Linked DNA regions of Notamacropus eugenii. The protein of the gene in region 2 interacts with the protein of the main gene of each other region in a pairwise test. Links are inferred from orthologs where the notes say so. Each region holds a gene or a part of one and is shown on either strand. Other genes may lie near its edges. The genes, in order: PER2, CRY1, PER1 and BMAL1.

Evidence for each region.
Region 1: the proteins of CRY1 (region 2) and PER2 interact in a two-hybrid assay, tested with the Homo sapiens proteins (5 studies listed by BioGRID, with this or other methods). The link is inferred for Notamacropus eugenii from reciprocal best matches to the Homo sapiens genes CRY1 and PER2.
Region 3: the proteins of CRY1 (region 2) and PER1 interact in binary tests that used the Homo sapiens proteins (3 or more experiments, as listed by UniProt). The link is inferred for Notamacropus eugenii from reciprocal best matches to the Homo sapiens genes CRY1 and PER1.
Region 4: the proteins of CRY1 (region 2) and BMAL1 interact in a two-hybrid assay, tested with the Homo sapiens proteins (3 studies listed by BioGRID, with this or other methods). The link is inferred for Notamacropus eugenii from reciprocal best matches to the Homo sapiens genes CRY1 and BMAL1.

What each region holds. Positions count from the first base shown.
Region 1 is NC_092873.1:59,040,625-59,048,315, reverse strand, and holds the start of PER2 (period circadian protein homolog 2), read right to left. Parts: upstream 3,016-7,691; 5' UTR 2,798-3,015; intron 1-2,797. UniProt on the Homo sapiens protein: Transcriptional repressor which forms a core component of the circadian clock.
Region 2 is NC_092874.1:289,311,793-289,319,041, reverse strand, and holds the start of CRY1 (cryptochrome-1), read left to right. Parts: upstream 1-4,242; 5' UTR 4,243-4,799; coding exon 4,800-4,957; intron 4,958-7,249.
Region 3 is NC_092873.1:77,746,835-77,754,383, reverse strand, and holds the start of PER1 (period circadian protein homolog 1), read right to left. Parts: upstream 3,018-7,549; 5' UTR 1-3,017. UniProt on the Homo sapiens protein: Transcriptional repressor which forms a core component of the circadian clock.
Region 4 is NC_092877.1:31,954,044-31,961,329, forward strand, and holds the start of BMAL1 (basic helix-loop-helix ARNT-like protein 1), read right to left. Parts: upstream 3,012-7,286; 5' UTR 2,864-3,011; intron 1-2,863. UniProt on the Homo sapiens protein: Transcriptional activator which forms a core component of the circadian clock.

The DNA.
Region 1 (7,691 bases), on a different chromosome or scaffold from region 2:
ATAGCTACAGAATGCTGAAAACTTCTCCAATCAGAGGTGACTGATCCTAGAGGGAAGCTAAGGAAGTGGAAAGGTCAAGGGGCCCAGGGAGGGACAGAGCACATTCTAGGTGGCCCTTGGGTTCTGGGGCATTTTGCAGAAGCTGCCTCCAGAACCCATAGGGAGGATCTGAGGCCCTCTGGAGGGGCAGAGTTCTGTAAGAGGTCCCCTTTTGCCCACTGGGGAGGGGAAATCTACATCGGCATCTTAAGCTCACCCCAAAAAGAATTCAGTCCTGTGGGCACCTTCCAGAAGAAGGCCCTTGTACTAGCTCTGCCCTTCATGCAGGCAGGCAGCAAGCAATGAGGAGTCATGGCTGAACAGGCAGGAGGTACCGTATGGGGCATAGGCAGGCAGACAGAAGATGAGATTTTGGGGTCAGAGAATGGGGAGTGGGTCAGTTTGGCAGGAAAGACAGAGAGTGTTAAGGGAAACATGATGAAATAAATGGGAAGAGAAGCAGGAGTCGGTCAGATTACCTGTCAAAACTGCACATAAGAGAAGAATTAAACCAGTTCAGAGTCAAGAAACCACTTCCAGCGAATGAACTGCTTGCCATGGCACTGCCCTTGGCAAAGTCCATTCTGTTCCTCAGGAAGCTCCTCCAAGCACTTCCTGGGCCACAAGTCTTCATTCCAAGGAGGTGAAGTTTCTAGATGGACTGACTGGTTGCCGATCAGTGAGGTGAACATTACTGTTCTTAGCAGTCTGCTGTGTCAGTTGCGGGGGGGGGGGACATCTTCAACAAGAAATCACTCTAAGAACAGTCATTTTGCCAGAATCTATCAACTTAATTAAACTTAATAAATTTAGGCCACCCAATGATCTTAAGATATGGCCACACAAATGCATTCAAGGAAAGTAACACTGGCCATGGGTTTTCAGACCACCAAGAGGCACTGTTCAATGTTCTGTCCACTGAAGAGAGACAAAAGAAACCGGTCAAAGTCAGTGCCCTGAGAGAGTTCCAGAAAGATAATGACCACACCTCCCTATCCAGAGAATTAAAGAACCACTGAACCATTGAGCCCTCTGTTCTGCATACCCTTTCTGGTGTACAAATTGGTGTTTTAAAAGATTCTGTGACTTGGGATCTTAACTAAACTCATAATTCACTTTTACCCACAAAGTTTGGGGTTCCTAGATGGACACCCCAATTTCCAGCCATGAATACATCTCTGGGCCAAAGCAAACAAGCCTACAACACAAGCCCTGAACTCTTTTCTTCATGCCAGAGGGTCTCACCCTCCTCCCTCTGAGCCAGCTTAGTGATCAGGGTCCCCAGGGTTAAATCACATTCACCTCCTGTCTCCCAAACCCAGCTCCAGCTTGGTGTTGCTGGTCAGTTGTGTCTGACTTTTTGTGACCCCATCTGGGGTATCCTTGGCAGAGATACTGGAGTGCTTTGCCATTTCCCTCTCTCTCATTTTACAGATAAGGAAACTGAGGCCAGCAGCTGAAAGGACCTTAAGGAAACAGGTCCAGGATGAATCAGCTCTCAAGATGGTTCTTGCCTGTGTCTGCAAGATACACCTGCTTCTGTCACAGCAACCATGAACCCTGATTTTCACTTTTACCACTGGCCTTCCAAGCTGGCCTGGGTTCTGCCTCCCCAGCCTGTGACTCTGAGCAAGTCACAACCTCCTGGTCCCTTGGTCGTCTTCCCCGAAGGACTAGTCCAACCTCCTCATTTTCTTGAGGCGTGGAGAAGGCAAGTCATGCAGCCTTCGTGGATCCTGGTTCCTTCCTCTTTAAAACGCGGGTGAGTAAAATAACAGTTATACTATGAATTTCGGTTACGCAGTCGGACTGTTAGCGTGTCCGTGCCAATCGATTCCACGGCAAGGGGAGCTTGCATAAGCACCCGAGTGCACCGCTTTCTCTGCCCCCGGGGAGGCGCTGTTTCCACGGACTGAGGCCGTCAGGCTCCGGTTAAGAGCTCCCCTCGCTCCCCGCCCCCCCACGCCGGCCACGTCTGGCGAGCACCTTACACGGGCCTCGTCTCGTCTGATCCTTACCACGAGCCCGGGAAGGCTCAGACCAGGAACGGCCCCGAGGGGCTCCCTGTCCAGGGGCCGGGGGGCTCGCGGCCCGTTCGAACCCAGGGGCTTTCGCCACTCTTCCAAACTGCCGCCAGGCATAGCGGTAGGGAGCATGAGAGAGGTGAGACTCGCACCCAGGTCCCCTGACTCCATACACACACCCCGGACCCCAATCAAACACGTATTAAGCTCCAGCTGTGTGCTGCGCTACGCACAACAGTGATGGCTAGCATTTAAACACAGCGTTATGGCTTGTACATAGATTCTCCTTTGGGTTCACCCCATTTTACACAAGAGGAAACTGAGGCTTAGAGGTTCAATGACTTGCCCAGGGTCGTTGTTCGTCTGGGGCTGTAAGCGAAGGCGGACCTTCCTGACTGCAAGGTCGGACCGCACGGCCTGCCCCCCGGGGGGGCACTCTGCAGGAGGATGGAGGAAGCAACAAGTACGCATCTATCAATCCCGCAGCAAGCACGAATTAAGCGCCTGCTGTGTGCCCGCAGCTGGGAGACAAAGCCTGTCCTCGGGGAGCTGCCAGCCTCCGGGGAGAGGGGAGCCAAGCGTCCCACGTCCGCGCCATCGCCCCCCAAAGCGCTGCACCCGGCGGGAGCTCGCGGGGCGGTGACGTCACCGGGCCAGACTCCCCACTCCATGCCCTCCCCACGGCGCGCCCCTCCCCCCCGACCCTCCAGGCCCCTCTCCCCACCCGCACTCACCGCGGCTCCCCGGGCGGCGGCGGCAGCAGCGCGGCCACAACGCTCCCCAACCCGCTGGCGCAAGAGCAGGAGCCGGGTCCGGGCCGAACGGCGGGAGGCGAGCGGCCAACGCCGAGGCGGAGGCGGAGGCCGAGCTGGGGACCTACAGGACGCGACGCGGCCGCCGCTCGCTAGCGCTACGAGGCCGGGCGGCTGTCACATAGTGGAAAACGTGACCGCACGCGCCGGGCCCGCCCCCCGCGCCCCGGCATTGGAGGCAGCCCCGGCTCATCTGCATAGCGGGGCGGGGGCCTCGGCCGGTGCCGCGAGCCCACTGGCTGAGCCACCTGTCGCTCGTTTTACATAAGACGCACATGGAACACCATGTTCACTCCGACGCGGAGCCCTTCAATGAACGCGCGGGGGACCCCCGGAGCCTCCCAGATGGTTTCTTCCACTTCCGCTCCCTGGGCTGGCTTCATTCAAGAGCCTTCGGCGTTACCGGGGAAGCGGGGAGCGGAGTGGACCAATCCATTCAGGAGTGGGGGGGTGGCAAGGAATGGAGAAGGGAGGGGGAAAGCCGAGGACTAGCGCCCACATACACCCACTGGGGACGCGCCCGGCTCCATTGACGTCAGTGTGACGGAGGCTGCGGTTTGGAAGCAGGTTAGAGCTCGGCGTGGGCTGAGAAGAGGCAGGCAGAGGATTGAGCCGCCTTCGCCAGCGCGGAGCAGGAACCCGCCGGCCTTCCTTCAGATTGACTCCCGGGGGCGGGCGGGGACGGGAGCTCAACCCGACCCTGCCCCCACCCCAGCCCCGACTCGAGAGTTGGGATACATTGTAGCGCTATCCTGTCATTGACCTGGGCGCATCTGCGCATCGTAAGCATATACATAAAGGCATGCACGTACAGACCTTGCGCGATGCGGGACGATAACCTAATAGAGACATACGGAGATTTTTGTGTGCGTTTGTGAGGACGAGAATGTAGACGTATATACATTACATATACTCATCCCACACACTACGTGTATATGCAAGCTAGAATATACACATACATGTTCATGTATACGGTGGATATGTATATACACAAATATGTGCATATACATGCATTTTTGAGTGTTTCAGGCACAGCCCTCTGTGACCCATTTTCTTGGCAGAGATCCTGGAGTGGCTTGCCATTTCCTTCTCCAGCTCATGTTACAGATGAGGAAACTGAGGAAACAGGCTGAAATGACTTGTCCAGGGTCACACAGCTAGTAAGTGTCTGAGGCCGAATTTGAACTCAGGGAAATGAGTCTTCCTGACTCCAGGCACCACTTAGCTGTCCCATGTACCTACATACACGTATACAAATATATGTACATAATGTATGTACAACTATCCCCATCTTGCGGAGGAGGAAGGACACCAAAAGTAGACAGGATTCCAGCCCTGGCCTCCTGACAGCATCTCACTGAGTATATGACCCTACAGACCAGGCACCCAGTTAATAACAATAATTATATATGATATATAATAAGATCACAGATATATAATAAATAATATAGGAAATATAATAATAACAGCAACCCACATTCCTATCAGGAGAGGCAGTGGCCAGGAAGCTGCACTGGGAGCTAGGAAGGCAGGGTTCAAATTCTTCCTTGGCCACATTCTGGTCACGTGACTTTAGGAAAGCCTCACGGTGCTTGAGGCAACTTTTTCAGCTGATGTGTCTATGGGAAGGTGCTTATTTGCCTGAGGAAAGGGAATCTCCTCTCGTCCACTCTTTCCTGAATCATTGAAATCATTGGTTCCATCTCCTTTGACACAACAGCGCTTTTCTCACAGCCTCCTGGCAAGTATGAATATTATGCCCATTTTACAGATGAGGAAACTAAAGCTCACAGACTTGGAGTGACTCACTGGGCTTGCACAAATGGCAATTTAGGTGGCACCCTGATTCTAATATAGCCTCTGTGGACTCCAAGGCAAGGGCTAGGTACACTCCTCTGGGTTCTAGCAGGAAAATGATTTTTTACCGTCTGAGAGCTAAAAGACACCTCAGAAGTCATAAAATCCTAATTAACTATACCTGAAGAAGAATCTCTCTTGCAATGTCCCAAAGTATTCAATTTGATTGACCTATGTTGCCTAAGCACCTACTAAGTGCAAGACATTGTGTTAGGTTCTGTGAATAGAAAGAAAACAAAGCAGTCCAATTAATAGGAGAGGGGGGAGAGAGAGAGAGAGAGAGAGAGAGAGAGAGAGAGAGAGAGAGAGAGAGAAGAGAGAGAGAGAGAGAGAGAGAGAGAGAGAGAGAGAGAGGGAGACAGAAACAGAGACAGAGAGAGAGACAGAGACAGAGAGAAGAAATGGAGGGAGAGAGAGAGAAAGAGAGGAGGGAGAAGGAAGGAGGGAGGAAAAGAGGGAGGGAGAGAGTGATGGGTCCTTGTCCCCCTCCCCCGGCAACTCCCCAGTAGGTCTTCAAGCAGAGTCTGGATAATCATTTTCCCTGATCTTGCCCCACCTCCCAGTTACTAGCATCCCTTCAGTCCCCCTAATGACTTTGCATTTATTTGTATTTCATTATTTACACAGACATTGTTTCTTCCTCCAAGAGAATGTAAGCTCCTCAAGAGCAGGGACTGTGTATCAGTTTGCCTTTATATGCCCAGCTCATCACACACAACCAAGCACACAGTAGGTGCTCAGTAAATGCCTGTGGAATGTAAGAGTGGGATACTTGCCCAGGTGGAGGTTGGAGCAAATGACGTCTGAGGTCCTCTGAGGATCCATCTGGCTCCTTTCAGCTCAGAGCCATTCCCTCCCTAGGATCAGTTAAATAAACCAAGGATCTTCTGCTATATGCAAGACTCCATCAGGAGACCTGAGAAATACAAAGGGGGAGGGGGAGGGGGAGGAATCCCTGATCTTTTTTTTATTAGCCTTTCCTATTCCACCCCCAAGTATGAACATTTCCACATCCCAAGACGCCTATGTGTGAAGCAGGGGATATCTCTGTGGACAGCTTGGAGTTTTTTTAAGTGCTGGCTAAATTCAACATATGAGCTGTGAAGCTCTTCAGTGCTCAGCGCATCCTCTGGTATATAGTAGGTGTTTGACGAATGCTTTTTGACTTGACTTGCTCTGGCCTGTTTTTCCCTCTGAACCTTTTTGTGTTTTGTGTATTTTTAAGAAAACTTCACTGACTTTTCTTGGTATCACTATCATCATTCCCTCTCTCCTCCATCCTCCCTCCAAAACAAACAAACCCTTTCTTGTACCAAATTATCTTAATGCTCATTCACAACAGCCATGCATATTAGCCTGTGTGAAACTATGTGTCTCATCCAACACCACCCTCTGTCTATGGGTGGATGGCTGGCTTCGTCACTGGTCCTCAAGAGCTGTACATTCATTGATCCAAGTTCTGAAGTTGTCTTCCTTTACAGTAGCACTGTTCTTGGAGAAATCACTCTCCTGGTTCTGCTCACTACACTTCACATCAGTTCAGTGAAGACTTCCTTGCTTTCTCTGAATCTGTCATTTCTTATGCTACAAAATATCCTATTACATTTATATGTCCTAATTTGTTCCACTGTTCCCCAACTGAAGGACATACTCTCTTCCTCATTATTTACTACCTCCAAAAAACTGCTGCCATGAATATTTTTGTACCTATGGGCCCTTTTCCTCTTTCTTGAACCTCTTTGGGGTGGTATCCTTGGGTAATCTTTCCTATTTTAAGGGGTTTACATTCTTGATGGGGAAAAATAAGACCAAATATAAGAAAATGATAAAGATTTTGTTTCAGATACAAAGGACTGACCGCCCCAAAGAGGAAGAGATTCCAATGGGCCAGAATGACCCTGGAGACATTCTTCTTGAAGGGCGAGTGGTGAGTCAAAGAAATCAAGCTGGAGAGAAGTAACCAACAGGGACATTGGAATGGACATGGGCCCAAACACAGGTGCTTGAGGATGATCAGAGGCTGACCTGAAGGAAATAGAGTAGACAACAGAACCATTCTGCCTAAGACCAAGTGCCTACTGTGTGCAGGACTCTTTCCTGGGTCGTTAGAGTTGGACATTGAAGGCAAATAGATACTGACCTTCTACCTTCAAGAAGTTAGTAATTAACTTGGAGGGATAAAGCATATCCCAGAATCCGAGAGACTGAGCAGACCATGGAAACCAACTAAGATGATGCCTCCCTGAGTGAGAATCCCCTCTAAACCCTCTTCCCAGTGCTTGTCCAGGTTTTGCTTTATGCGGGTTGTCTCCTCCTATGAGAATGTAACTGTCTTGTATGCTAGTTTTTGTTGCCCCAGTGTCTGGCATATAATAAATTGATTGATTCATTCATTCCTCCAAGACCTCTAGAAAGGAAGAACCTCCCACCTCTCAATACAGCCCCTTTGCTTTTGGACAGCTCCCAGTGTGGGTGCCCATATCTACTTCTCTGCTATTTCAGCCTCCTTCCTCTTGTAGAGAGCCTCTTCCTTCTCTGCTGCCACTGCTCCACCTTCCAGACCAGGGCTCTAGAGCCTATGTCTGGGAGAGGCGAAGTCCCTGGCCTCTGAGCTTCCTTCCCTTTCCCCCCTTCCTTGGCTAGCCTATAACTTGGGAGCTTGACTTTCACCCACTTCCACTTCTCACTCTGAGAATCAGTAAACACTCCAATCCCTGTGCACCCCTGTTCTGCTTCTCCAGTCATCATCCCTGGGACATCTAAGACCAAAACTTCGCCCACCCCTCCTCTATGTGTGGGATGTGAGCTCCTTGAGGACAAGGACTGTCCTGCTTCTGTGACTGTAGCCTCAATGCTCAGTGCTTGGCACTTAATAGTGAGGCAGCTAGGTGGTGCAGTGGATAGAGCACCCCTCCTGGAGTCAGGAGGATCTGGGTTCAAAACTGACCTCAGACTCACT
Region 2 (7,249 bases):
CCCAGCTTCCTTCAAGCCTCCACCCAGGGCCTCCCTTTTCCTCTACTTTTTAGGGGTTTTTCATAGGCACTCCAGTTAAGACTATAGGTGCCTTCTCAGAATAATGATTTTGAATGCAAAAACTACAAAAGACATATTACATTGAAAAACAAGTTCTTGGACCCCAGAATAAGAGCCCCTACAAGCTGTTCATGTTTCCTCCCCATCTCAGATTTTCTGATCTGTATCAAGGCTGTATGTGTATTCTGTCCCTGCACCCCATATTCTCTATATCCCCAATAACTAGCAGAGTACCTTGTATATAATAGGTGCTGAATAAATACTCCATGAATTGAATTTTCAGGCTCATACTAGCGGTATGACCCTGGGCAAGTCACTTAGCCTATGTCTGCCTGCAAAATGTCATCTACAACATGGGGGTGATAGTAGCTCCTAACTCCTGGGTTGTTGCGAAGCTAAAGTAAGATTGTTTTTGTAAAGTGCTTAACAAACCTCCAAGTACTCTATAAATGCTATTTGTATTATAGTTGTTCTATCCGGACATCTAAACTGGATCAGTGAGGGATCAGGGGTTTAACCTGTAACATCTGGCAATAGGTACAGGGAGATATAAATACCCTTTGACCTAGCAATATCACTACTGAATCTGTATCCCAAAGAGATTTAAAAAAGGAAAAGGACCTATATGTACAAAAATATTTGTAGCAGTTCTTTGTTGGGGCAAAGAACTGGAAATGGAGGGGATGCTCATCAATTGGGGAATGACTGAACAAGTTGTGGTATGTGATTATGATGGAATACTATTGGGCTTTAAGAAATGATGAGCAGGATGCTCTCAGAAAAACCTGGAAAGACTTTTATGAGCTGATTCAAAGTGACATGTGCTTTGTACTGTGTACAAAGTAACAGCAATATTGTAAGATGAATCAGCTGTGAATGACTTAGCTATTCTCAGAGATACAATGATCCGAGACAACTCTGAAGGACTTAAGATAAAAAATGCTATTCATCCCCAGGGAAAGAACTGACAGAGTCTGAATACAGACAGAAGCATACGGTTTTTTACTTTCTTTTTTTTTTTTTAATTTTTTTATCAGTTTTCTTTCACAACATGACTAATATGGAAATGTTTTGCATGACTACACATGTAGAACCTATATGGAATTGCTTGCCTTCTCAGTGGGGATGGGTGGGAAGGGAGGAAGGGAGAGAAGCTGGAACTCAAAGTTTTAAAAATGAATGTTAAAATTTGTTTTTGCATGTAACTGGGAGAAAATAAGATACTAAATAAAAACAAACAACAAAGAAAAGATAAAAATAATGATCCCTGTTCTCAAGGAGCTTCCTTTCTATCGGATGGGGAGGGGGAAGAGTCTAGAATGACTGAAGTTTTGAACCGAGGGAATAAGAGGAGGAGGATGCTATCCTGGGAAAATATGGAAGTGAGTTGGGGAAAAGGTGGTGAAAACTACTGGATGTCTTCAGCTTTGGGTTCCAGCCCGTCCAGATGGAGGCATCCAGTAATGGGTTGGAGTCACAGGGCTGGAATTTAGGAGAAAAACAAGGGATTCTGACCCCTGCATAGAGGTCATCATGGAACCTGCCAGGGAAGATAACAGCCCCAGGTTAGAGTGTTGGGGCTGTCTACCTCTTTACAGGTGCATGGCGGGTCTAGAAGTGATCACTAATAATAACCCCAGGTCCACCTCTTTATAGGTGCATGGATAGTCTACAAGTGATCAATCAGAGCAACCATGACTGGAAAAGCTGCCCCTGGATTCCCAATTCTGGGCACCCTGTGGGTTGGGCAAACCAGGAAGTACTCCATGACTTTCATGCCCCATTTAAGGTAGAAACCTTAAATGTTCTTCAAGGGAATGAATGGAAATTTCAAGCAAGTAAAGGGTAGGAGCACTTCTCTGTGTGGTCATACTCTCCTCATAACAGTTTTATGGGAAATAATGAGAAGTGGGAACAGGTAGCACATGGCTGCCCCACTGATGTCAATGGAGCCAGCGCCCACATCATACAAGGAGTAGAAGGGTGGGAGTGGGTGCCTGGAAGGGGAAGGAGAGAAAAATTTGTAATGTCTCCCAGCCACTCCAGATCTCTGGATTCCCAGGATCCAAGAACCAAATAAGATGGGAAAAGTGATACTGAAAATGCAGATGGGATTCATAGGAAGGTTACCTGGTGGTGTCTGGGTGTGCCAATCTCTTGGCAGAGGGAGTTAGAAGAGAAAATGAAGGAAGGCCATAGAAAGAAGGCTTGAAGATTAATGAATGAAAATGGTGGGCGGGACAAATTCCTGGAAGATATGATAAGGTATAAAATCAAGAGTATAAGAAAAGGCATTTACTTGGACAAGTTGGACTTCCTTCAAGCTAGGAGTAAAGGAGGGAGACAGGTATAAATATAAACAGGTGTTTAGGTACAGATTTGAGGAGAAATGAGAACTGAAGACGGGGGAGATTTAGGAAGTTAGGATGATCTGAGGGTATGGAGACATGAGTATCAGAGTTTATGCTCTGGAACTATTTGAGGATCTATTTGAGGGTAGAGAACATGACTTTGTAGCAGACCCAGACGGCATGATTACACGGCTTCCTCTTCGAGGCATTCTGAAGGATGGCAGAGGACAATGGGAGTGACTCAGGATTGAGAGTCTTCGTAGTGTAAGCGAAACAAAAGAACCAGGGATTCAAGGTACATGACGGAGCCTTGTTGAACTGGTTAACTATAGGGATGAGACAATGAAGGCAAGCAAAGAGCAGGCATAATGTACTGGGGGAAGGGAGTCAGGACTCAGAAAATCAGAGGATGCTGGTGAGGACCAAAATCAGGTTTAGGAGTGAGACGTGGACAATGCTGGAGGATGGGAGATTGGGATTTCAGATCCCAAGATCGGATATCGAGGGAGCACAGTTTGGTGTGAAGGGGGGGTGGGTCTATCCCTTGGATGGAGGGGAGATATTGATCATGGGAATCTAGAGGAGAGTATTGATGGGAGGGGACAGAGGGGAACGTTTATGCTTAATTCCTCAACCATGAGGGCAGAGGGTGGAATCAAAGACTCAGAGATTCCTACGAAAGACGCGAGAGGACCAGGAAGGCTGCAGATCTCAGGGCCACGAGGTTCCAGACCTGATGAGTCAGACCGGAGATGTGAGCCTCCAGGGGAGGCTGCAGAAGCGTTGGAGGGCCCCGAAGGGCATCAGCCAAGGGGGAGGGTCTGCTTGCCCTTCGGCTGGGGAGTTTGACAAGAGCTCGCAGCCACCGAGGGCAGCCTGGGGGCTTCTAGGGGTTAGAAGAAAAAGTGGCCAGGCTCCCCGTCGCGGGAGAGGTGGGGAAGTAAGGCTTCTCAGGTTCGTTTCCAGAGAACGTTCATCCCCCAGAGTCCGACTCGGGGCTACCGTGAGAGGCCGTCAGAAAGAGGTCTGGCACCCCAAGTGGAAGCGGGCCGAGCTGGGCGAAGCCCCCGGGGGTGTCACAAATGGATGCGGGTGGGGAAGGGGTATCCCCGATCCTGGAGATGGGGTGTAGGAGAAGGGGAGTCACGCAGCCGTTGATGAAAGTGACCCCCGGGAGTGTCTGGGAAGAGAGGGTCACCCGGGGGTGCCTCTGGAGAAGTGGGGCTCCCTGAGGCCCCTAGCATTTAGATAGAGCCTCCCACGTGCCGGGCACTGGGCTGAGTAAGTGCTTTTTACAAACACTATCTCCTTGGACTCTCCATAACAATGCTTGGAGATAGGTGCTGACTAGCCCCATTTTACAGGTGAGGAAACTGAGGCAGAGGATGACCCAGATCACGTGGCTAGTCGGTGTCCTGCGCTCCGGACTTTCTGGTCACCTTGGGGATAACTTCTGGGGCCCCCTGAAGACCCTTGAGGGCGCCTTGAAGGGGGCGGGGCACGAAGAGGGTGGGTCAGGCCCAGACTTCAGTAAGCCCCTAGCCCAGCGCTCTGCTGGGGCAGGGGCAAGGGCAGGGCGGGAGCGGCTGCGCAGGCTCACTGCTCAGCACGGGACCACGCGCCGGGCGCGTGCAGGGCCGCCCCGGGAGCGCGCGCGCGCGGCTGCCGCCGAGCTCCTCGCAGCCCCGTGCTCATCCGGGACTCCACCGGCTCCCGGACTGTCAGCAGCCAATCGCGGCCCTCGGGGGCGGGGCTTGGGTGTTGGCTCACGCGGTACGGGGAGAGGTCGCCACCGGCTCCGTGGGGGGGAAGGGGGAGGCTGGGACGCCATCGATACCCGTGAGAGCGAAGGACGGGGAGCGCCGTCAGCTACGACTCACGTCTGCAAAGCCTGCGGCGGCGGCCAGGGGCCGAGCGGCTGCTTCGGGAGCGCGAGGCGCCGCCATGGGTCCCCGGCTCCTCCCTGCCGCCGGTTGCCGGGTGTAGTAAACACACTTCAGAAACGTGACGAGCTGGCGGTCACGTGGCAGGGGCTTCAGCCAATGGGCGTCCGGGGGCGGGGCCTGGGCTGCTGACGCGTCCGCCCCAGCGCGAGGAGCCAGAGTCCGAGCCGGAGCTGGCACTGACTCCGGGAACCCAAGAGCAGGCGGGCCGGAGCGGGATCCGGCCTCGGACCAAGGCCGGCGCCAGAACCTGAGCTTCCCCTTCTTCTCCTTCTCTGTCGGCCCCGGCTCGGGCCGGCGCGGCCACGTGACCCCCGGGGCGTCGGCGCGAGGCTCCCCCCCACCGGTCCGCCGGGACGCGATGTGGCCGGGCGGCCGCGGGCTTCGCTGGGTCCTAGCGCCCGCCGCTCTCTAAGGCCCCTCCGGGAGACGGGCAGGCTGCGAGATGGGAGTGAACGCCGTGCACTGGTTCCGGAAGGGGCTTCGGCTCCACGACAACCCCGCGCTCAAGGAGTGCATCGAGGGCGCCGACACCGTGCGCTGCGTCTACATCCTGGACCCCTGGTTCGCGGGCTCCTCCAACGTGGGCATCAACAGGTGGAGGTGAGTCCGGGCTCGGACAATGACTGGGAGGGAAGGAGGGTGGGGAGGGGGCCCGGCTCCCAGAGCCACGTGTCGATCAACGTGTGATGTCACCGTCTGCTTCCCTCTCCGTGAGAGCCACGAGTCGGTCGTATTGATCGATGATCTATATGGGATACTGTAATTTTCTCGGAGCCTCAGTTTCCCCCTCTGTAAGGGGGAAGGATGGACTCCGAGGCCCTTACCCCAGAGCCACCCGTCAATCATGTTGATTGGCAATCAGTGTGGGATACTGTAATTTTCTCGGAGCCTCAATTTCTTCCTCCGTGAAATGGAGGGGGTGGGCTCTAGAGCCACAGGTCAGTCAGTCAGCATGGGATGTTGTAATTTTCTGTGAGCCTCAGTTTCTTTCTGTGTAAAGTTTGGAGATGCCAGCCACCTCTTCATCCTTATGTGAATCTCTGAGCCTCAGTTTCTTTATTTGTAAAAGGAGGACGTTGGCCTAAATTGGCTCCTGAAGTCCTTGTACCTGAGCCTCGGTTTTCTTTCTCTGTACCTGTAAGGGGGGGTTGCACTGGGTGGGCTGTAAGAACCCTATTGTCCCTAGAACTCATCCTCCGAGCCTCAGTTTCTCTGCCTGTCAAATGAGCAATTTGGGTTACATGGGCTTGGAGGAGCCTCTGATCTCTGGATATGTGACTCTGTGATCCCTCAGGGACCAAACATTTTATGAGGGGTCTGGAGAGGTGACTATGATGTATGTACAGCCTTTTGCAAACTTGAGAGCCCTGTATAAATGATCCCAGCTCTTCTTAGGTGCCTGCAGTGGGGGAGGACTAAGCACTGAAAGAGCTGGTCTGTGGGTTTGGGGGGGAGGGACAGTTTGGAAGGGTTAGAGGTCCCTACCTACAGAGAGCAAAGTGAGCCCCCTTCTCATTCAGTGACTTGGCCAAGGGCACACTGGTAGCGAGAGCCAGACCTCTTCTGGCTCCAAAGCAAGTCCCTGCCATCAAGGAGCTCACTTCCCTGCTGGAGTTGGGGGTAGGTAATGTGCCCCATGCATAAGTCAGTGCATTTGTGGTGGGATGGGGGAGATCTGTGATTTCTGGTATAGGCACAGGCCAGGCTTGGGACTTCAGATCCCACTTGTGACACTGATTCACCTCCATGGGCCTCCCTTTTCTCTAATATAAAAATGAAGGTGTTGGACCCCCTTGGCCCTTCTAACTGTATGTCTGATCCTTGTGTGGTGTTGAAACTCTAAGTATAGAGCAGCAGAGGGCTGCTGGGCAGATGGGGACCTCCTCTGTGCTTATTATCAAGGATCCTGGAAACCACCTCCCTTCTCATTTCATAGAAGAGGACACTGAAGCCCCCCAAAGTAGCAGAACCAGGATGAGACATCCCCTCCTCTCTCTACAGGATCAGAAAATGGTAGCTCTGAAGTTTGCTGAGTGGCCCCTGTTGCAGCCCTCTTTAGCCCCGTTTTATAGCTGAGAGACTTGAAGCAAAGAGGTGTCAGATAAGTTGCATGGAGTCAGGGGGCTAGGAGGGGCCAGAGCTGGGACCTCAGCCTGAATGCCCTGATGCCTGCCATCTCCCAGGCACACGCCACAGCCCTGGGCTTTCTAATCAAGTCTGCGTTTGAGAGCAGGAAGGAAGGAGTGCTATTACTTAAGAATTAAACCAAAACGACCAGAGTTCTCCTGGCCTCTCTGCTCCATTCTGTGTATTCCCCAAATCCAGTCCACCCCAAGCTTGTGGCTTCCTGCTCTCCCTGAGTACAGCCCTGGCCGCCAGCGCGTCTCTGTGTGTACTCTTTGTTTTGGTGCCAGAGCCAAGACTACGGGCATTTGGGGGCTTCTCCACCTTGAGGCTGATGTTGGAGCAGCAGCAGGGCCCGGCTTGTGGCTCAGCTTTTCCTTACTCCGCCTTGTGGCTGAGAAGATCCAGCACACTTGGACTTTATAGGCACCTCAGAAAGAGATCCTCCCAGCCCATCACATGGGAGAAACCTAGGAAATGATGCTCTCCCTTCCTTCCCATCATCCCCCTGAAATATCAGCTTCTAGCCCTACCCTCCCTTCATGGGGAAACTTTCCTTAACAGCCCTTTTCCCTGGATTCCCAGACAGGTGATGATAAATGGCAGAGGAGATTCAGAGCAAATGCTCGCCTCACACCTGGCACTGAGTCAGTGCTAATGGCATCAGACCAGTATAGCACAGGCATTTATTCCTCCAGGGAAAAGAAAACCCCTTAAAAATGGCCAGACCGTCAACTAGAGAATCCTCAGAAGAATCATATCAGTGTC
Region 3 (7,549 bases), on a different chromosome or scaffold from region 2:
CTGGCACACGGTTGGCACTATATACATGCTTATTCCCTTCCCCTTCACTTCCTCCCTCCTTATCCTCCTCCACACCCGCTCCCCCCATGCCCAGTTTACTTCTCTTCGGTCTCTTTGTTCCCACAGTAACCGAGCCCAGCTGCCATCAATGAAAGGAGAAGGGGCAGGTAAAGGAGTGACGTCAAAGCAGAGGAAGGGGGCAGGCTGCAGGCGGGGCCAAGTGGCTTGAAGAATGTGGGGCAGGGATCCTGGAAGCCTGGAGAAGCAGTGGTTTGGGAGGCAGCCAGTGGGAGGGCGGTGGCCGGGCCAGTGAGAACATCTTGTTCTTTTGGCAGTCAGCCTAGGACATGCAGCCGTCCCGTCCCGGTTCTCTCCTCACCCTCCCTATCCCCACCCCACTCCCTTCCTGTCCCAAAGCCAGGTGTTCCTGGAGAGGCAGAATTGGGGGAAATAGTCGGCCAGCTACAGGACCCAGTTGTCAATCCTTTTTGTCCTACAATGAACCATACCAGACCTTCAAGTTCTATCATCGCTATACCCCAAATTTGCTCACGTGGTCATAAAAAGCCAGGGTGTGGAAAGCTGGGTTCTATAAGACTAACAAGGCTTTGCTTCCTTGCCTTCCAAATGCCGATCACAGTGGCAACCAAAGGTTACGGGACAGAGGTACAGGTACAAGATAAGAAAAACAAAGCAAAGTGCAGACAGAACTGGAGAGACTTAGGAGAAGACCAAGGGATCATCTACTGTTCTAGCTGGAAGTGAACCTGGAAGGGACCTGATGGAGAAGAGATCTGGCAGTATGGAGCATTAGGTTTAATTAAGCATCTGGAAAAAGATAAGTAGTTGGGAATGGGGCTGAGTGAAGGGGGTTTCCAGGAAGAGAAGCCAAGGGCTTTCAGGAAAGACTTAGGACAGTTGGGTCTTAGATACTACCTTGCTCTAAATCCCTCACTTCTGTTCCTTTATCATATTTGTATATGTGCAGGAATGATGAGAATGTCCTTCCCAGGTGTAGGGACAAAAAAGAGTTCCCTACCCTGCCTCTGGTCCTGTTCCATATCTAATACTCTGACAAAAGTTCTTGACTCTAGTGTTCAAGGAAGATGTCACTCACCTCTCTAATCTTTGTGTCTGGTATATACCTAGGATTCTTTGCCATCTGCCTAATTTTCGGCCTAGTTCCTGGAACCCAGGTGTCCAGTCCCTCTCAGCCTAGGGACAATACTATATGATATATCCTTTTCCAGACTCAAGAATCTGGCCCTTTGGCATCCAGCTCTCCCTTCCTACACCCTGAAGAACCCAAGAAACTGTCTGTTCCCTTCTATCTACTAGACTCCACTTTATTCAGAAGCTAAGCTGTTCAATCTCTTCTCCACATCCATAATCACTATCCTCCTTTATCTGGAACCCAGCACTATTATTACAATTTTCTATACGTTGATATAAGTATAGATCCCTTAACTGGTGCTCAAACAAACAGGCCCTGGGATGTGGATATCATCACTGCCCCCCAAAGCAAAGTAGCTTACTGGACTAGAAGTCAAGACTTGGCTTCTAGTCAAAGTTCTGCCAAAAATTAACTCTGTGGCCTGGATCAAGTACTTTCTATAGGCCTCAATTTTCTGATCTGTAAAGAGGGGGAGGGGGTGGCTGAGATATTTTTAATTCTTCTTCCAGGTCTAACATTCTATTGATTCTATTATCTTTTCCCCTAAACACCAACATTTCACCTGGTAAATTTCCTTCTAATCCCATAATTAAAGAATTAGGATAAAAAAAGGTATTTAACCTGAAAAAGTATTTCCATTCTGTTAATCATATCTCTCATATATCTCCATTTTTCCCACCTTGTCCCCCAATCATCTCCAAACCTAAGACCGATACCTCCTCAAGAACTCCATTTAATTCAACTTTCTACAAGTTTGGATATTAGAACCCATCAATATTGGATTTATGCATCCCATGAGGTCATCTCTAATAGTCCAAAATCTAATAGTATAATAAACAGCATGCTTTTCCATGTTTCAATATTTTTTGCACCATTGCATAGGAGGTATGTATACATACACATATATGTGTGTATAAATGGCTAGGCTACATACATGTACATATTGTATACACACACACATTTTTAAAAAAATAGTATGATCTCCTGAAAAGAATAATATAGAATTGGGAGTCAGGAGAGGCCTTGGTTTGAATTCTATCCCCAAGGCTTATTAGTTGTGTGTGGTCATATAGGAAGGTCTTAATAACCTGTTTCCTCATCTATAAAATGAGAATAATACATTCTATAGTACCTATCACAAAGGGCCACTGCGCTGATAATAAGAATAGCTAGTGATTTGCGAAGTGCTTTAGAAATATCTCATTTTATCAAATGAGATAATTTAGGATTATCTTAAAATGTATTGTAAACTTTAAATGATAGATAAATCAGTTATTACGATCATCACAAACTCCAGCTTGATGCTGAAGGAACTTGCCAAAGTGCTAAGATGGTACAAGACACCCTTTTATTTTCCAAATCTCTACTTTAATCAGTCTTCTATCTAGTTCACAATCCACTCCAAGTCATTCAAGTTCTACCAAAAGACAAGTACTTAACCCACTCCTCCAAACGACCACCATACATCTGAATCACCAAACCCCACATAAAGTTGTGTTGCGAGTAATCCTACCCTCAAACTTCACCTAGTCCTTGAAGTTTCTCCCAACCTGACAAGAATAATTTTTCCTGTCTCAGCACTTTGTTCTTAGCTCTCATGCACTCATCATATAGCTCTGTATTATATAAGTAATTACCTACTTACTTATTCCAACTTCCCCCACCGGCCTGCAAGCTTCATGAAGGGGGGGCTGTGGTATCTTGTTCTGTAGAGCCTCCTCCCATCTCCCCTGGCAGGACAGTGCCCATCATCACACAACCTGACTGTCACAGAAGCTCACCCCAGATATATATGGACAGCCCCTACACACACACACACACACACACACACACACACACACACACACACACACACACACACACACACACACACACACACACACACCTTCCCCAATGGTGTGACATCCACTCCCACGGAAACAGGATCGCCCTTAAATCCCGACCCTGGGACTTTCTGTACAGGTCACTCAACTACTTTGTGCCTCAGTTTCCCCCTCCTCAGGGAGCTTGGAAGAAAGCCTCAGAGAATGTAATAAAGGACGCCTTGCCTACCAGTGTAACCTGCTCCCCTCTGCGCACACGCTGGCCCGTGCCCCACTCACCACTTCCCCAACCTTCAGTCGGTCCCGGAGCTCCGAAGATCCAGGCTCTGGCCTCAAGCGCCCCTTAGTACTCCTTCCCCACAAGGATCCAGATCCGTCCCACTGAGGCCAGCCCCCTACAGAGCCGGCGCGGGACAACACCGCCCAGAAGCCCGGACGCCACGCCTCTGATGCGCTCATTGGTCTGGGCGTGCCGACCCATGCCCCAATCCGCGTGCCGCTGCCCCGCCCCGCCCCGTCCTTCCAAGAACTGTTCCCATTGGGCCCCGTCAGCCCCAGCTGTCTCCTCATTGGTCCTGGAGAAGCCGAACTGCGTATACTCCACGTGCTCTCAGCCCCCTCCCCCACCTCCTAGCGCTGATTGCTAGTTTCCCGACCGGAAATCACGTAGTTTTTCCTTTCTCAATGGCCATTGGCAAATGAAAATTCCTTTGGTTTGCCTCGTCCCCTACCGCGTGAGGAGGTCCCGCCCCTAGACGATTCTCATTGGCCACCTTTGGGAGGAGCTGGAGAGGACACGTGCGGGGCGCCTCACGCGGCCACTTGTTTACCAGTACTCAGCTGAATTTTTCCGTGACGTGACCAGCACCCACGGCCCCAAGCATTAGCGCAGGCGCGGCTGTAAGGGGAGGGGGAGAGCGTGAAGGAGGAGCTTGGGGCTGGAGAGCGGCGGGAAGAGGTGGGGTGGAGGGGCAGACAGTTTTTAGGTGAAGAAAGCTGTCTGGTGGCTGCGCTGGAAGGGTGTAGTGGGGGGCAGTACAGGGAATGGGCCACGGCGGGCGATGTGGCCTAGGAGGTTCCCCACCGACCCCGCGGGGCCGTGGAAGGGATACATGGCTGTGCCAATCGTGTCAGACTCCGCGAATGCCACCTACCGATCCATCAGTGAACAGGCATTTATTAAGCCCCTACTGTTGTGCCACGCGCTGTCCATCCCCACGCCACACTTTCTTCTGCTCACGGGAGTTCACAGTCTAATGCAGATAGCTGTGTACCAGCAAGGTGTGTACAGGATCAATTAGGGATAATGTCAGGACCCGAGATGGAGGAGATGCAGCCTCACAGCGATGAGATAAAGTATAAACCTTGGGGTGCAGTGTGACTCTCAGAGATTGGGAAGGCTGACAGCCCCAGCTGTAGAGCTGTGTGAATATGTGAGATAATATGCCCTTGAGGGACTTGGGATGTGGGGGATGCTGATGATGGTGGGAGCTGTGTGAAGATGAGGAAAGTGATGACTGGAAAATGGGGGGCTCCGTCACAGGAACAGAATTTTTTTTTAAATCACCTCCAGTTGAGCAAATCTCTAGCAATGTAGATACTTACACCTAGTAAGAACAATACTGTGCAACGTAAAGTCTTAAAAAATTGCTCAACAGCCGCACTGAAACAAGTGTGATTGTGCCCAGGAGTCATATAGCCAGTAGCTGTACTGTCTTTAATGATTCTATTTACTGCTGCTTTTGCCTAGTGATAATTAAGCTGAGGTGAGGTGTGATAACCTGAATTTGAGAGAGGGGTGGTGGAACTCAGAATGTGGAGCTTGGAAAGATCAGAAAATATATGAAATGATCAAGGGGTAAAATGAACTAAGATTGGGGTATTGGAGTGTTGAAGTCACCATGTCAACCTCAATTCCTTACTCTCCCAAACCCCCAATCATTAGACAAGTCTTACAACATCTCTCCCATCAGTCTTCATCACCTGTTACCTGGACTACTGAAATAACTTGTTGATTTGTCTCCCTGCCTCACATCTCTCCCTTTCCAGTCCGTCCTATACATAGCTGCCAAAGTGGTACAGGGGTCTGATCATATCATTTCTCCGATCAAAAACTCCAATGACTCCCTGTTACCTCTAGTATAATATACAGATTTTACTATCATATACCAAAAAGTTCGGCATTCAAAATCTTTCGCGATCTGACTCTAGCCTACAGTTCCAAATTTACTGCATATTATTCCCTTTCTCATGTCCTGCCAAACAGACATACTTGATGTTCTTCACAACATTCTAGCTCCTGCCTCAGTGGTTTCAAACAGGCTTTTTCCCATTACTGGAATTCACTCTCATCTCTATGTCTTGGTAAGGGATTAAGTCAAGGGAATGGACAATGAAGGCCTGGTTGTCAAGAGCATGCTCTTCCTGATGTAATGACCTTGAGTGGATGCTTGGTGAGCCAGCTTTTGGGCATCTGTAATGGAAACCCCTCCTTTCCAAATCATGGGTAGATATTCTATGGCTACTTTCTATCCATTGGCTATGTGGTGAGGAGGAGTCTTTTGATTTGATGCTGAGCCAGAACTTGGTGTTTATACAAAAGGTAGTATCTGGCCAAATGGATCTTTTCCTTTCCCTGGGGATAAGCAAGGGAGGTGAATTGCCTTGGGAGTCCTGGCTTCATAGCAGCTCCAGGTGCTGGTGAATGTTAACCTTCAGCCTCACCTGGAGCTTCCGAGAAGCCAGGAGCACATCTGTCTTTGTGGTGTCTATTTTTTTCCTGCTCTTCGGTGAAAAATATCAAAAATGTCTTCAACCTTTTGAGCAAGTTACCAGGGGTCTAGAAGCTGTAGTCCATATCAGAATTTACAAGCAACTGAGCAGATGAAGTGCTAGTGCTGCCTGCCCTAAGGAGCAACCTGCCTGACAGCCCCAGCAGGGGATCAACTCAAAGTTGCCTTGTCCTTCTACATTAAGGGAACAGTGACTGTGACTAATTTGGAAATAAATTTATAATGCTTTATAGCAACCATTTTGAGTTTGAAGTCATTCTTCCCAAGGACTGAGGTGATGGAAGGAGGAGTATGCCTTCCTAGTGTTAGAAGAAATGTTCCTCTGATATTTGGGGAAAATGTTTAATAAATTCTGCTCATATGTTATCTTCTCAGGAAATAATTCTTTGATACTAGGATGCTAATAACTGGGTCAATCAGAGACAAAGGGAAGATGTTCTTTGTCACCAGCCATCGATATGGGGAGAAACAGCCAGAATGAGGGTTTAAGCTGATAACATTTTAGAAGAACTTCATTTCCTTTTAGAATAGCCCTAGAACTCTGGAGTAGAAGTTAACTAGCTTCTTGGGAACCCAGCTCACCAGTGAGAGTGAAAGTTGGGATGAAAACACCTGGAGACTTTTTATGTGGGCTACACATCTTAAAATACTTAACGTTCTTCAAAGTACAGCTCAAAAGCTACCTTCTACATGACATTTTTCTTAGTGGCCACTCAGAGATGCACTGGATAAACAATGGACCTGGAGTTGGGAATCCAGCCTCACACTACTACCTGTGTGACCCTTGATAAGTTACTTAACCTCACTATCTGCCTCAGTGTCTTCATCTGTAAAATGGGGATAATAGCAAAGTGCCAAGCATATAATTAGCAATTAATAAATGCTTTTCCCCCCTTCAAGCTTTTACTGCTCCCTCTCCATTACCTTTTGTTTACTTATGCATGGAATTATACCCTGACAAAATGTAAGCTACCGAAGGGCAGAGTTTTGGGTTTTTTTATCTCCAGAACCTAACATACATACCAGATTATATATGTGTTTATGTATATATCACAGGTATATGTATATACATATATATGACACTTAACAAATGTTTGATTAAGTTGTGATATTGTGGCAAGAAGTAAGTGGGATAGAATATGAAAGGATACTCAGGCACAGCTGGGGAGCTTTATGATAGTGAGGCAAGGCTTAAAATATAAAAATGATTGGATTTTGTCCAGTAATGGAGAGCACATAACAAGTGTTAGTAAGGATATAGTTGCCTGAATTCTTACACATGTAATCAAAAGAGTTTAAAACTAATATAAGGGAAGAGGAAAGTAGTACCTCTCTACTTCAGTTGGGTCACAGAAAGCCTAGAATGTATAAATTTACACATTTACAAGGTGTAAATGAGGTGTTTTCACTGTAAAAGATTCTTTTCTACCTTGGTTTCTTTAGGCAATAACAAGGCCTCTCTGACTAAGTCAAGAAGGGAACAGTTCAATTCTGCATCTGTCAGACAACAGAGAAATATATTTCAGATAAACAGGAACATAGAGAGATAAGTCCCCCAAGCTGCAAGGAGCAAGACATCTGGCAATTTAGAGTCATGCTGAGGAGAGAAGCCGCCCCTGGGAACAGATCACGAAGACTCTATGAAGAGAGAAAGACTTTTTGAGCCTTGTAACATCAGGAATTGTACATTACCTTTGCTACACATGTGTCCTGCAGGTGTGCCTCACTGCCATTGTATTTTAAATTTGAGTGCATTTTTC
Region 4 (7,286 bases), on a different chromosome or scaffold from region 2:
TCTTTCTAGACAACATGCTTCTATGAATGCAATCTGAGATCATATTAGTGTTTCTGGCTGCCATGAGACAATGTGGCCTCATACTGTTTGCAATACCACTCAAATCCCTAAGGTCTATTTCATATGAACCCCTGTCTAGCCATGATTTCTTCATCCTATGTATCTTTAACAGTTTGTTCAGCTGAAAAAAATTTAACCCCAGTACAGGGCTTTACATTTATCTCTATTTTATTTGATTAAAATTAGCTGTGATTAAATTTGCCTGTCATCAATGCAGCTAAGATTCTTTCAGATTGCAAGTCAATTTTAGATGGGCCTCCTAGGTTTTTATCTTTTCAGAATCTGATAAACATGCCATCTACGTCTTGCAGCCGGAAGAATAAATTTCAAACAAAGACACTTCAGAGATATTTAGCAGATAAATATATTCTTTTCTGAATTTCTAATTAGTTATGTTTGGAAGGTTAGGGCTGGAAAGGTTATACTTTAGAGATCATATTGTCCAAACCCTTCATTTACAGGTGAAACCTTATAAGACTCACTTAAATGACTTACTTACCCAAAATCACAAAGGCAGTTGATGCCAGCGTTGGACCTTGTATCTAGTTTTCCTGACTCCTAGTCTAGTGTTCTTACATTTATAAAAGGCTGGTTATATATCACAAATATATCACAAAAAGAAGTAGGTTCTTTTACATTTGATGCTAAAATAATAATCCAAAATTAAATCATGTCAAATATTATAGTTTTAATTTAAGCTATTCACCTTTTACATCTAAAACATGGGAATTCCACTAGACATCCAATTGTCTGTACGTAGTTTCAAATCCTGCATCAGAAATTAATTTCAAAAATTCATCTCAAATGTGTTAAGTGAACCATTTTTAAGACTTGGCAATAAAATATGAATGGAAAACTGCAATTTTTAATATTTCAATGTACTGATATGGTAACCAAATTTAAAATAATGCTTTTCTCTTGCAAGCAATGGGCAAGTAGGTGGCACAGCAGACAAGAGCACTGGGGCTTGGAATCAGGAAGACTCATCTTCATGAGTTCAAATCTGTCCTCAGACACTTCCTACCTGTGTGACCCTGGGCAAGTCACCTAACCCACTTTGCCTCAGTTTCCTCATCTGTAAAATGAGCTAGAGAAGGAAATGGCAAACCAGTATCTTTGCCAAAAGGAACTCAAAACGGGTCACTGGGAGTTAGACAATAACTCGAAAGAAAATCAAGGCATAACTCAAAATTACCAATGGTAAAAATCATTTTGAACTCAACAATGAATTAATCAATGAATTAAGAATCCCAACAAGCCAAATTTACATCAGAAGCCAAAGTCATTATCTAGTAGAGTGGACATTTTACGTACAGTTTATCATATGACATCAGCAGATGACAGAAAAATAAATGACAGCTCTAGATACCTCAGAATGAACGCTACCTAAAACGCAGCTTTGAAACACCAAATTTTAAAAATATCTTTTCCAAATCAAGGCCTGTTAAGGAATGACTATTGATCAATCCTAAATCAACTGCTCAAAACACAATTAAGAAAACGTTCATCTTCATTTTCTGCTGAAACACGGAAACCATTTATTGGTTTGAAAGGTGAAACCTTGAAGGTGGAGCAGCCTATAAAGCGGGCGGGGACGCAAGTCAAGTGGGTTTAATTCAGGTCAGTCACCTCAACCTAAACTTAAAAAAAAAAAAGACAAACATACCTGAAGCGAGGGCAAAGACTTTTCCACCCCCAAAACACACTTCCCTCTCCGAACCCCTCCCCTTTTCACCTGGAGGAAAGGCTTGGGTAACACGAGAGTCCCAGAAAGCAAGTCTTATTTTATCTTCCGTCCCATTCACTGAGCAAACAAGGGTTGGTTGGTTGGGCGGTGGACACCGGACAAACACCGGACAAACACCGGGCCCTCCCCCCGCCCCTCCCCCGACATCTGTCAAACCCCTCGGGCCTTCGGGGCTCGGACCGAGGCGACCCCGCTCCCCGAGGGCTAACGACGCGCCCCAGAAGCGCTCCCCGTCAGCTCAGCCCGGGCTGGGCTCGACTCGCGGGTCCAAATGTCCAACCAAGAGCACATCCCGGGTGGAAGTCCGCCCGGATGGACTGGGTGGCCCATCCTCTCTCACGCCCTCCGACGCTTGGCCAAAGCGCAGAGCAAGCGGGGCGCCGGCCAGGGTCGCCCCGAACCACCAGCTCGCGCCCCTCTTCCCTCTTTCCCCACCCCCCAAAGCGAGGCAAGTCCTCTGCCTCTTTCTGTATCCCCAGGACTTAGCACAGGGGCTGACACACAGCAGGCGTCTAATAAACGTTTATGAATCGAACTGCTCAGAGCGAGGAGGGGGAGGGGATGGAGGACAGAAGGATTCCCCCCCTTCTCGAAACCTGCCAGAGGCTGACGTCGGTTTCCCTGCTTCCCTGAAATATACTCGCGCGAGCCGGCCCCAGCTCCCCCGTTCTGTCCCTTTAAGAGGCAGCAAACAGTCTCCCCTCCCCCATGACAGGTAGAGGGAGCGGGGAGGGTCTGAGGAGTGAATTGGGAACCCTGCACCTTTAAGGTGACAGCAGGAACCTCGGCCGCTCCCCCCTCCCCCGCTCCAGCTGGGGGGCAGCCGGAGGGAGAACGGTCCCTGGGCGCCTTTAAGAGAGGCTCTCTAGGGGAGGGGGTACCGACCGGGGAGGGGGCGGTCTGTGCCTTTAAGGGAGACCGATCGTCCGAGGGCGCTCGGCGGCCCAGGGGCACTGTGCCTTTAAGGGCGTCAACGGTCCCTGAGGGCAGCCGGAGCCCGAGCCGGGGCCCACTGCCTCTCGGCTCCCTGCCGCCGGGCCAGCCGGAGGAACTCACCGTGGGCGGGCGAGCTGCCCGGAGGGCGCGCGGTCCGGGGCCCCAGCTCTCCTCGGTTTCCGCGGCGGCGGCGGCGGTGGCGGCAGCAGCGGCGGTGGCACAGGAGGAGGCAGAGGAGGAGGCAACTGCGAGCCCCACTCCAGTAAACAGGCACCTCCGTCCCTGACCTACTTTCTGCTTTCCCTAAATGTCGCACCACTAACCTACTTTCCGACCAATCCGCTCCCCGCCGGCCCAGGCCCGGCCCCCAGCCCACCAATCGTAGAGCCCAACCCCCCCTTACTCCTCCCTCCAATGGAGGAGCCTGGAAGCCCGGATACCTGCCTCTCTCCACGAGCCAATCAAAAAGCCCAGAGGGACCCCGGTTCGGCGGCCACCGCTCGCCAATCGGAGCTCGGCTCCGAGGGTCAGATTCACCAATCGTTGAGAGCCTGGGGAGCGGCTCTGGCCAATAGAGGGACGCCAAGGAGGTGGGGAAGTAGGAGGGCGGGGCCGTCTACCTGACGCTTCATCCCAACCAATCAGCACACTCATCTAAAGTTCACACCCTGGAGAAGCCTCCAATCAGAGCGGGCGCTTCCTTTTCTATTGGGTTCCTCCCCACCCCACTGCCCCGCTTGTCCGCATTCCTCTGCCGGCGGCGGGGTGAGCACCTGTTGCCTTGGGTGGCCCTTCATTGCTCGATGCCGAGTCATTCCAAGCTCGACCTCCCGGCTCCTTTGGGCTGGACCCGGAGCCCGCAGTTGGAACTGGCCTTCACTCCCGGGTCCTCCCCGGTCCTCTGCGCCTTCTCCCTGGACACCCCAGCAAGCTTTCCAGTCCACCGACTCATTTTGTCTCCCGGGAGTGCCTTGGACCCTGGGCGCTTGCGGTTACCGCAGCCGTTGTGCGTGCAGAGGAGGAAACTGAGGCACGTAGTGGTTAAAGGGCCTTCTCAGAGGTCACACACTGAAACTGACCTAGGAGACCAGCAAGGTCCTTTCCAGCTGAGCCCCCAGAGGAGGGGGAGGGGGAGTCTAGCTAAGTCAGCAAGCAGTTATTAAGCGCATACCAAGTGCAGAACACTGTGCTGGGATCTGAAGCTACAAAGACAAACGGTTTTTTTTTAAATCGACTTTTAAGATTCAGTTTGTAGGTTTGAGGGATCGCCACAAGTACACAAAGTGTGGTCAAGGAAAATCGAGAAGAAGATACTGAGAAGGGGACCAGGAAAAGCGTCGGGGAAGTCATGCCAGGCAGAAATCTATAAGAAAGTTCTAAGAAAGGTGAGAGAGGACACGTTCTGTGTGGAGGAGGGGGAGGGGTGTGCCATGCAGGTGAGAGGTGGAATTAAGATTTCAGAGAACAGCAAATAGAAAGGAAAAGTGAGTAAAAGGAACTAGGTTGACCAGGGCCAAAGTGGAAAGAGTTTTAAATGTCAGGAGGTGAAACTGGTATTTTATCCTAGAGGCGAAAGGGAGATGGTACCAGAGATTCTTAAAGAGAGAAGTGATGTGGGAACAGGAAAGATGACTTTTGATACTATGTGGAAAAATGACGGGAAGAAGGAAAAGACTGGAAAAAGGACTGATTAGGAGTCTTTTGAGGTAGTCCCAACCAAAAGCTGATGAGGCTCTGAATTAAGGAGTTACCCTGTGTGAGAGGTGAGAACAGGAAAGCTATTAGGAAGGTAGAATTCACTATATTTGATAATTGATTGGATATGGGGAAGGGAGGAAAGGGCTCTTAAAAATGAGGGAAGAAACTGGAAACCTGTGTGTCTAAAAGGATGTTGTCCCCACTAGAAGTATGGAAGTCTGGAGGAACAGGTTTAAGAGAAGGAAAGATGCATTCCATTTTGAGTTGAGTTTCAGATGCTTAGCAGACATCTAGATGGAGATGTTCGGTGAGCTGTTGGTAATATGGAATTAGTTCAACGATTTGTGTCATGGACCGCTTCAGCAATCTAATGAAGCCTATGGACCCTTAATCACATATTTTAAATGCATAAAATGAAATTCATAGTGTTGCAAAAGAATACAATTGTATTGAAATAACAGTTATCAAGATCATTTTTTAAAGTTGAACCCCAGATTAAGTATCCCTAGACTACATCAAGAGAGAGATTAGGACCTCATATCTAAATTTGAGAAGAAACAAGCTGAGGTAGGTTGACTATTCACCTTATCACCTGACTCCTGAAATTATTCCTTTTTAGACTACACAATAGATAGCAGGACTGCCTGGTACATCTTTTTATCCCCCACAAAGACTGCCTTGAAAGAATTTGGTAATCAGTAAAAGTAGAATGCCTTTTAAAGTCAGTCAGTCAACATCATTCACAGAACTACTTGCTATCTTGTGTACTCTAGACAGAGATGAAATAAATAAAAGTGGTCATAAGGAACTTGCAATTTAATTGGAATCCTAGTGCTTTATCTTTTGGATCTGTTCCAACTTTATCTAAACTTCAAACCCCAATTTTTCCTTTCTTGTAAGTCTCTTTCTTGGTGTACCTCCTCCCTTCTCCAGGCTCTTTCTTTGTATTCATAATAGCAGTAGCTATAGTTTTATATAGCACTTTATGCAGTCTTGATTAACCAAATCACAGATGAACTTAATCCTCAGGAACTGAAAGACTTGGAAGATCCTGATGACTTGAGCCACTGTCAGTGATATCAGAAAGATCAGAAGTAGAGGGCATACAAAGTGTTTTACAGATATCATCTCATGTAATGCTCATGGCAATCCTAGAAGGTAGGCGTTGTTGTGATCTCCTTTTTACAGATAAGGAAACTCAGAGAGAAGTTAAAGTGATTGCCCAGGATCAGAACAGTAAGTACCCAAGATCAGATTTGTGCTTAGGTTTTTGTAACCCAGAGCTATATCCACCACGTTGCCTAATTGCCTGGGCAAATTTTGTTTCAGTTGTCAAAAATGGGAAGAGAATGGAATCTATGAACTCTCGAGAGGTCAGCTTGACTTCAGTTCTTTTGGAAAGTCTACAACTAATGAGAACTGCTGTTCTTTTCATCTTACTTTTATTTAAAGAGAGGCAATGTAAGCAATGTGGATAAAGAATTGGCTTTTGAGTGTCGGAGGCCTGGGTTCATGTCTCATCTCTGCCACATATTGACCATTTGACATTAGACAAACCACTTAAACTCAGAGCCGCAGGCAAGTCTCTTAAAACTGTAAATTATAGAAGGGATGCTGGTCTACTTTGGCGTAGGAAATTCCTTGCCTAGAGCTCCCTACAACAATGAAATTACAGGTGAGATTTAAAAAAAAAATATTGATGTCTTTTTTTCCTTTGTTATGCCATTACCCTCATTTCCTACTTTTTAATCTACCCATAGATACTTTTTTTTTGTCTTAGCACTCTCTCCTTGGAGGTCATCTGCTTTTATCCAATGACCCAAAGTCTACGATCCTTTCAAATTTGTTAAAAACTTGAATATAGTTTACTTATGATGATTCAATCAAGATGCCTGGGCCTTCTGTGTTTATATCAAAGTGGGATTGAAACACTTACCCTTACACCTTGTAACAAACATTATTGAAAAATGGAAGAGGAGAAAGTGGTTCAGTAAAAACCAGTTAACATCAACTATGTTTTGACAGGATATATAATACTGCAGTCTGTGAACTTAGTTTGCTTTGTGGTGGTATTTTTTTTCAATATATTTTGGTAATTTGCATTTCAGTATAATTGGTTTCCTTTGGAATTTACTCTGGTGAAGCCGTCTATAGGCTTCACCAGACTGCCCAAAGGGAGGACCATGAGACAAAAAAAGGTTAAGAATTCCTAGTCTAGAATGTATTATTAAAGAGATAGTAGTGAATATTTAAATAAGGAAGTAGTGATCACAATAACTAAAGTAGCTTTATCAAGAACAGGTTATACCAGACTAACCTAGTGTCCTTTATACATTTTTCAAGTATTGAATCCCATCTGGACTTTATGCCAATCCTGTGTGGAAAAGCAGCATTATCAATCAAACAAAGAACATTTACTAAGCCTTTATTGTGTGACAGGCATTGTGCTTTTTGTCACAGTGGATAGAGCATGGAGCCTGGAATCAGGAAGACCTCAATTAAATTCCAACCTCAGACCCTGAGCAAGTCACTTAACTGGTGTCTGCCTCATCTCTCTCATTTGTTAAGTGAGAAGGTTGGATTTGGCCTCCCAAAATCCATGTCAGCTCTAAATCTATGATCCTATATGCATATACAAATATATGAAGATAATTTGAGGAAGAAGAAGTAGAGAGGGACCAGGAGGGACTTCATGTGGAAGGGAGTTCTTTAGCTGAGTTTGAAGGAAATGGAACTCGAGGATGGGGACCAGAGGTAAGAATATCGTGTGTGAGAAACAACAAGATTGCCAGTCTGCCTGGATCCTGGACTAATGTATGTTGGAAAGGTAGGTTGGGGCCAGATT